Drosophila melanogaster: one gene and its partner. The protein of the gene in region 2 purifies or fractionates together with the protein of the main gene of each other region. This does not show direct contact. Each region holds a gene or a part of one and is shown on either strand. Other genes may lie near its edges.

What was found.
Region 1: the proteins of betaTub56D (region 2) and Pfdn2 purify together in Drosophila melanogaster (affinity purification with western blotting, with the first as the bait; one study listed by BioGRID). This does not show direct contact.

What each region holds. Positions count from the first base shown.
Region 1 is NT_037436.4:11,072,473-11,076,315, reverse strand, and holds Pfdn2 (prefoldin 2), read left to right. Parts: upstream 1-1,927; 5' UTR 1,928-2,069; coding exon 2,070-2,200; intron 2,201-2,304; coding exon 2,305-2,605; 3' UTR 2,606-3,024; downstream 3,025-3,843. Other genes in the region: Noc1 (nucleolar complex protein 1), read right to left, coding at 1-487, 547-661, 727-1,455; Mocs1 (molybdenum cofactor synthesis 1), read right to left, coding at 3,159-3,754. UniProt on the Drosophila melanogaster protein: Binds specifically to cytosolic chaperonin (c-CPN) and transfers target proteins to it. Binds to nascent polypeptide chain and promotes folding in an environment in which there are many competing pathways for nonnative proteins.
Region 2 is NT_033778.4:19,446,719-19,451,663, forward strand, and holds betaTub56D (beta-Tubulin at 56D), read right to left. Parts: upstream 2,882-4,945; 5' UTR 2,693-2,881; coding exon 2,609-2,692; intron 2,029-2,608; coding exon 742-2,028; 3' UTR 601-741; downstream 1-600. UniProt on the Drosophila melanogaster protein: Tubulin is the major constituent of microtubules, a cylinder consisting of laterally associated linear protofilaments composed of alpha- and beta-tubulin heterodimers.

The sequences.
Region 1 (3,843 bases), on a different chromosome or scaffold from region 2:
TTTACCAGCATGGTTAGCAGCAGCTGCTCCTTTTCGGGAGCATAGGCCAACAGCCTGGCTGCTGACACAATAGAGGAGTTCTTATTGTGTTCCTGTCCAGTCTGCAGGCCCTGCATAACGTTCTTCAAGAACTCGTGGTACTGATCCTTTAATTCGCTCTCAAAATGCCAGTACGCGTAAATGCGGCGCTTCTGTTCGTTGCGCAAATTCTCATCCTTTTTCAGCTTTTTCCAATCAGCACCACGTGTGTGCACCGCCAGGAGTTTTCTGTTTGGCGGGAGCAGCACCTCCTGCCACAAATCCGTGAGCACTGCAATCACATCATTGCTGGCCTTGTTGGAGATCTTGCAGAAGCCAATTAAAGTGCTCAATGCTTCCAAATTGCCCAGTGGATTGCTCGTCACCAGAAGGGCGCCCGCATTGGCCCGATCCTTTGCAGTACCCTTGTGCAGAGCGGTTTGCAACCAGCGAGCATCCGAGGGATTACCTAAAGATGAGATAAAAACATTAGTAGGGGTTCCAATTTCCGAGTCGAGAAAGTCTTACGTTTATTAAAAGTTATCTTCTCCGCTTCGAAGGAATTCTTGCAGAGATTGTACAGCTCCAGCTGATCGTTCTCCTTCATGTCCAGCACCTCATCGGTGGACGGATAGTCGGGATGCTAAGATACGATAGTGATAACTATAAATGATTTATTTCCACGATTTCAGTTTAGTTTCAACATACCACATGATACCACTTCTTTTGGGACTCCTCGTCTTCATCTATTTTTGACTGATATTTGTTGTGCTTTTTGGAAATGGAGTCCCCCAGTTCCTCATCACTGTCTCCATCGCTGTCGGATACATTTTTTCCAGCTCCATCCTCATCAAACTTGATTCGTTGGGGCTTTTTAAAGTTCTCCTTGGACTCTCCGTCATCTCCAAACTTGATTTTTTGGGACTTCTTGGTCGGTTCCGTCTTTGTGTTGGAAGAATTCGCAGTTACTTCATCTTCTCCATCATCAGTGAACTTGATTTTCTGAGGTTTATTGGCGAAGTCCGACTTTTGACCATTATGTTTATGGTTGTTTTTGTTGAAAGGTTTTTGATGCACTGCTTCTCTATCCTCTCCAAATTTGATTTTCTGTGGTTTTGGTCCATTTTTATGATTTTGGTTGAACGACTTGGAAGCTACTTGTTCTCCATCATCGCCGAACTTTATTCTCTGTGGTTTGTTGGCAAAATCCGGCTTTTGGTGGTTCTTATTAAAGGACTTAGCACCTTTCGCTTTTCCATCCTCTCCAAACTTAATTTTCTGCGGCTTTTTCACCTGTTCCTTCCCTTCAAATTTTGGCCTTTGTGGGTGCTCCTTTTTGTTTTGTTTAACTACCGCCTCGCCGGAGTCGTCGAACACGATTTTCTTGTTTTTGGGCGGTCCACCGAATTGCACACCTGTGGCCACTGCTGCCGGCATGATTTTATATTTTCTAAAGCTATATATTAGATAAAAATCATTAAATAAAATAAACGGCGTTAGAAACAACTCGCACGTGTATTCAAATATGACATTCACCGCGAAACGTAAGCAACATATGTATGTCGTCTACTTAGTGACGAATTTCATTGTCTTTATGATATTAAAATTTTGTATTTAAAATCTTAAATAAGAGAGTATCCAACTTAGTTTTAAAATTTATAAATTATTCAGTAATTACCATTGAAATGACCGTGACTTTTGATAGCAGGTGGGTTTGAAGTTATATAAAGCTTGAAGTTATTATAATCTGATTATAAGTAAGAATAAAATTGAAATTCTTATATAGAATTACTATTAATTTATAAATTATTACATTAACTTATGTTTAAGTAACTGAAGTTGTGCTATATTTTCTTTTACCGTTACACCATTTTTCCACAATACATTTACGGTCTTACTGCCTTGACGCGCTTGGGATTTGTTAGGACGTTTATCGCATAGTCCTCGTGTTCGGTCTCGTATTTTGAAAGAAAATCGCAGATTATCGCCAATTTGAAGCGATTATCCCGGTCTAGATTTCGAAGGGGTCCTTTTGGATAGCGAACATTGCAATGAGCACCGAATCGGCGAAGCCGGCACTCAGCCAGGAGGCCATTGTGGCCCAGTTCCAACAGCTGCGCAATGAGCAGCGCAATTTGGTCAACAGTTTAAATACGCTCGAAATGGATTTGAGGGAACACAAGTGAGTCACCGGGGGCCCAAAGATGGATGACACGTCTGTTTGTGATTTTGGGCAAGTGGGAGAATCCCTGCAGACACAATGACATAACTCCTTATCCTCCCTAGAACTGTGATAGAAACTCTGGAGGCGGCGGATCCCGAACGGAAATGCTTTCGTCAAATTGGTGGTGTGCTGTGCGAAAGGACCGTGAAGGAGGTGCTGCCACAGCTGGTGGAGAACAAGGATTTCATCGCCAAGACCATCCAAATGGTCACCAATGACCTGAGCAAAAAGGGCAGTGAGCTGAACAAGTTCAAGGAGGAGCACAATATCAAGATTCGCGGCGAACACTTGGTTGCCGAAGGAGCCAAGGGCGACGATGCGGAGGACAAGGCGGAGAACCGTAATGTCCTGGTGTTCAACTGAGAGCGATTGATTACCTCACCACACCGTATTTATTGTGTCTATGTTGAGAGGGAACTCTGCCAGGATTTGCGAGCGATAATCCGCGTTTATTGAACACTTCTAATGTTGTATGTACTTCTAGCTGTAAGGCGCAGTTCGCGAAACGCCTCCAATCGCACCTTCACACCAACACTATCCATCAATTCCCCTCATTTAAACTTAACCCACTCTGGCCACGAATTAAAGATACCTTAAACTTCCGATTGAAATTAGTCATGTGTCTTGTGATTCATTCAAGATCTGAAAATGGATGGACCTCTATCCACCGACTGGAAACAAAAACTATATAAACTATATGATTATTTATCCCTTTTATGCCATTTGTTCTGAAACATTTTATTGGTATGTTAGTCAAATTAGTTTCCTATAAGGAAGTGATTTCATCTACATTTTTACACTTATGTATTCTTGCTTCATAAGTCTTTTAATTTAATATTTGTGGCTAAATCAAGTAAGCAGTAGTTTATTTTCCATTCCCCGTATCGTGGTTAATCCGGTTAGTCGGGTATTCGACTTATTCGACTTCTGTAACTATCCCATTTTGCGGCTCCTCCCTCTGGAAGTCCCTTTTTCCGCCGGATTTGCTTAGCAGGCGGACATTTGTGATGCAGATATCGTGAGAAACAGCCTTGCACATGTCGTACACAGTTAAAGCGGCCACTGAAACTGCAGTTAGTGCCTCCATCTCGACTCCAGTTTGGCCCGAGCAGCGAACGGTTGCCTCCAGCCGCACAGATTGTTCGGTTTTCAGAAGAGTGGCCTGCACTTTCACGGAGGACAAGCTGATGTTGTGACACAGGGGTATCAGTTCGGCGGTTCGCTTAGCGCCCATTATGCCAGCAATTTGGGCTACGGTTAGAACATCTCCCTTGGCCACTTGATTGTCGGCTATAAGTTGGGTAAGTTTCTCACCCACCTGAACGGTGGCCTCTGCACGAGCTAATCTTGTGGTCGAAGGTTTTGCGCCCACATCCACCATTTGGGCCTTGCCCTGGCCATCGACATGGGTGAGTTGGCTGTAATTTCGGGCCTGAAGCTGCAGCCTTGAAGTATGATATGCGTGGTGATACGAATAAGGATGAAGATGATGATGGAGTCTTGGCGCAGCATCTGCAACGGGAGAGGGGAGAGAGTGTGGTGTGTCTACTAGCCGCCAATGAGTATCATGGGCCGGTTCTCCATCTGCGACAGGTTCAGCA
Region 2 (4,945 bases):
TAAAAACAAAAAACTTACACTCCAGCTTCATGAAAATCGCGTGTGGGAAACCGTAGCGTTAAGACTACCATAATATATATATATATATATATTAATTAGATTTATTGCATACAAGGCCGTCTGAACCACAATGGTACGTAGGCCCACTTCCTACGCTGAAAATATCATGTCATGTCCTCTTCAAGGGCGAATTACTTTTGTTTATGCAGCATTTGCTCGAAAGTTGAGGTAGGTAGGGCAAATCATTGTCAATAAATAAAAAAGGTCTATAAATAAACTAATGTGAATGAAATTATCAATCATCACAACATAACCATGTCCAAAACAAACACAGCCGGTGAAAAGATTTCTATTGTTTTTAGCTGGGAGAAACCCGATTAAATAAACATAAATTTGTGAATCCAAATAATACAATGAGAAAATGTACAAATACCTCGCTTTTGTCAAAACCTACATTAATGAGCCTATTAACATTTATACCAACACTCTAAACATTAATCAGCTTTCTTGGACTACAAAACGCAGTCTCATAATCCTCGTAAAATGATTGATATCTCTCTTATTAATTATAAGAAACCCCAACAAAAACCATAATTGTTTAGACTTGTGAACAAAATTGGATCCGACTTTATTGATTACGTTGTTAAGAGAACAAATCTTTTACAACTGAATTCATTTGTTCTCGTTTCATTTTTTTTCGCAAAACATTGATCGAGAATTCGATTGATTTCCGATTCGAATTTAGTTCTCGTCGACCTCAGCCTCCTGCTCCTCCTCGAACTCGGCGTCCTCGTCGGCGGTGGCCTCCTGGTACTGCTGGTACTCGGACACCAGATCGTTCATGTTGCTCTCGGCCTCGGTGAACTCCATCTCGTCCATGCCCTCGCCGGTGTACCAATGCAAGAAAGCCTTGCGCCTGAACATAGCGGTGAACTGCTCGGAGATGCGCTTGAACAGCTCCTGGATGGCAGTGGAGTTGCCGATGAAGGTGGCGGACATCTTCAGACCACGGGGCGGGATGTCGCACACGGCGGTCTTCACGTTGTTGGGGATCCATTCGACGAAGTAGGAGCTGTTCTTGTTCTGGATGTTCAGCATCTGCTCGTCGACCTCCTTCATGGACATGCGTCCACGGAAGATGGCGGCGACGGTAAGGTAGCGTCCGTGGCGTGGGTCGCAGGCGGCCATCATGTTCTTGGCATCGAACATCTGCTGGGTCAGCTCGGGCACGGTGAGGGCGCGGTACTGCTGGGATCCTCGGGAGGTCAGGGGAGCGAAGCCGGGCATGAAGAAGTGAAGACGTGGGAAGGGCACCATGTTGACGGCCAGCTTGCGGAGATCAGCGTTCAGTTGGCCGGGGAATCGGAGGCAGGTGGTTACGCCGGACATGGTCAGGGAGACAAGATGGTTCAGGTCACCGTATGTGGGTGTCGTCAGCTTGAGGGTGCGGAAGCAGATATCGTAGAGAGCCTCGTTGTCGATGCAGTAGGTCTCGTCCGTGTTCTCGACCAGCTGGTGCACCGACAGGGTGGCGTTGTAGGGCTCCACAACGGTGTCCGACACCTTGGGCGACGGCACAACCGAGTATGTGTTCATGATCCTGTCGGGGTACTCCTCGCGGATCTTGGAAATCAGCAGGGTTCCCATACCGGAGCCAGTGCCGCCGCCAAGGGAGTGTGTGAGTTGGAAGCCTTGCAGGCAGTCGCAGGATTCGGCCTCCTTGCGGACAACATCGAGCACTGAGTCCACCAGCTCAGCACCCTCTGTGTAATGACCCTTGGCCCAGTTGTTGCCGGCACCCGACTGGCCGAACACAAAGTTGTCGGGCCTGAAGATCTGGCCGAAAGGTCCCGATCGCACAGAGTCCATGGTGCCGGGCTCCAGATCGACAAGGACAGCGCGGGGCACGTACTTGCCACCGGACGCCTCATTGTAGTACACATTGATGCGCTCCAGCTGCAGGTCGCTGTCACCGTGGTAGGCGCCGGTGGCATCGATGCCATGCTCATCGGAGATGATCTCCCAGAACTGCAAATGAGAAATGGAAGTAAAGAATTTGGGATTAGTGCGATTAGGACTTGCAGGTGCTGTACAGCATTTCTTGTGAACATGAGTCAGCAGGAAAATCGATTACTAGGGGGTGTTTTCTAACTCAGTCTTAAGAAAATGTATGAATGACTTGGCCAATGAGTCATCACAGAAAATCAATGGTAGTAAAATTACTCAAAGCCTAGACCATCTGCTGCATACATATATACAGCTAGTATTTATTTGACTGCTTCACATAAATCACAAAAGAAGTTTATGCTTAAGCAACGGTAACTTTTATTTGCACAAGAGTACTGCAGTTGAAGAAAACTTTTACTAATCACTGAAACTCATTTCCAATTCTGCAAGTAATTTGCTTAAAATTTTTCTTCCATACCCAGTGAAAGTTGATGCATGTGAAAGGCAATCTTATTTTCTTGTTTTTCTCTTAACTTATACAGATAACTTCGATACAGAAACCTTCTCGAACAAAATGTGTGATGGGTTATGGAAAGTCAGTCTATATATAACTCTTTATTGATTGGAATAAATGGGCACAAGAAGCAGCCGATGTACATACACATGTCTGGGCTCGGCTACGTGGTTTAGGCCACCCATGTACGCCATCATAAACTCTGTGTATGGGCCGAGCTCCGATTAACATAACTTATTCGCTGCCATTTTTGGTGCGTTTCCACCACCACGACCAGCAGCACCATCGCCACACCAACGATAACGTCATCTGGCGTGGGTTTTCGTTTCGGATCTCGAGGCGCAGCTGTCATTGCGTTCCGCCGACCGATCTTACTCGAATCTTCGGGCGTGGGCTGGAACTGAGCTGTATAACTACTATCTGTCTGTCTGTCTATATGTCTACGTGCTGCCCCCACGCAATGCCGGCGACCTCAGAGCCGGGCTCTGCCACCCCAAAAAGCCCCCCTGCTTCCGATGCGGCTTACATCACCGGTTGTTCGGGTCTCGCGACCCACTCTCGTCTCTGCAAGAGGGAAACGGAGGAGGAGTGGGAGGAGCAGTGGGTACCAGTTGGAGAGAGGCGTTGGCGTTGTCTGTTTGCTGAGAGGTTAAAACTGCAGCTCAGTGCTCCAACTACCGACCATCTGGCGCATAAATCGTCTGTTTTTCAGGGCATTACGTCACCTGAACTTTTTGCGATGGTCGTTGTTTATGTCGCGTAAACAAATAAAAACAATTAACCGAAATAAGTCGCTACACTGGTATTGGAGGAAATGCGTGGTTGACACTCGTTTAGCGAAATGACACCGTCATACCGGATTCTATGTATATAAAGTGTATATATAAATATAGAAATACACATTTGTAAGCCGGTCGGGTCGAAAGCGAGAGAGAGAGATATTGAGAGCCATACTTGGGCACAACAATTCTGATGTTGCAGCTGCTCGGGTTTTAAGGCGTTTCCGAGGGTTGTTTTCGGCTCATGGGCCCATGCCCAGCATGTGGGTATTGATTTTTCGGGCAAGGACTAGAAAGATTCGTCATCATCAACATCACCTTCGTGTCCTGTGCCCCGTTATCCCACACGCATGTGCAGCACCGCCCTTCTCGGTTTCGTTGCTTTTTGTGTGCGAGAGGAAACTGGGATAGAGACAAACAGATGGCAAATTCCTCTATATAAGGTCATCATCTCACCTTGCAGACTCCCAATTCCTACTGCTAAAAGTAAAGTTTCATTTTGGCACATAATGGCCGAAAGAGAACCGAAATCTGTCTATACTATAGTCATGAATAAAAAATAGAAAATTGTTTCATTCCATGATAAGATAGAGAAGCCGCCGAAGTAGCGCAATTTTAAGTAGGGAGCAGAGTGTGGAATGCATGAAAATCAATAGAACAGCTAATGCAGCCTACGAACACATATATCTACATACTTATATCCCATCTACGTATAAGATCAACTCTTATACGTTCTGCGAACCGTTCAACGACGACCGGTTCAGCCATTTTAGGTTAAAATGACGTCATGTTTTCTCTTTAGAAGACGCATAGCGGCAAAAAAAAAAAAATTAAATGAAAAAACCGGCCGACGCTCACACATACAAATGAGCAGCAAGCTCTTATGTGCGTGTAGAAAAGCTATCGTGTTTTGACGATAGAAAAGTACCCTTCACCATCTGGGCAGTGAAATGGCTTTCACAACCGGTGAAAAACTATGAAAGTCTTTCGCCCAAGAGAAAATGACTCATGCATGCAACACGCACACAGGCATACACACAGCCACCAGCGTCGGTGTAATTGCAGACACACCCAACTATAATTACTTACATATGTACATACATATGGGCACGAAGTACATATGCGAATGTCAATGGCCCTAAAGCATTATATCGATCGGAAATTCGGGCGTAACAAACTTTCGTTCTAAATTTTGGACCCCAAATGCCAGAGTAGAACAACAATTTTCAAGCATCTTTGCGAAATCGGACAAATATGCGGTATATACAAACACAGATGCCGGGACTCAAAAAGACCACTCGACACACACACGCACACAACTTGGTATACATAAATGCAAATGTGTGAGTGTGAAAATGCCGGCCTCAATACAAATTTTTGCCACATGGACAGCGAAGTCGTGCAAAAATGACGCCATTTTGGCAACTGTACTCTGGATGGAAAATGAATGGAAAATGCAAATGGGAAAACTTACCTTGGCGCCGATTTGGTTGCCGCACTGACCAGCTTGGATGTGAACGATTTCCCTCATTTTGTATTTGTTTTAGGCTTTTGAACTTTTAACTTAAAATTATCTTTCGCTTATAGCAGTCGAACACAACACAAACTGTCCGCTTCACACACTTGGAAAAATTAGTGCATTCGCTTTGGAGAGCGCGGGCTTTTATACGATGGCCGCAGTGTGGCCATACTACATGAAAACGAA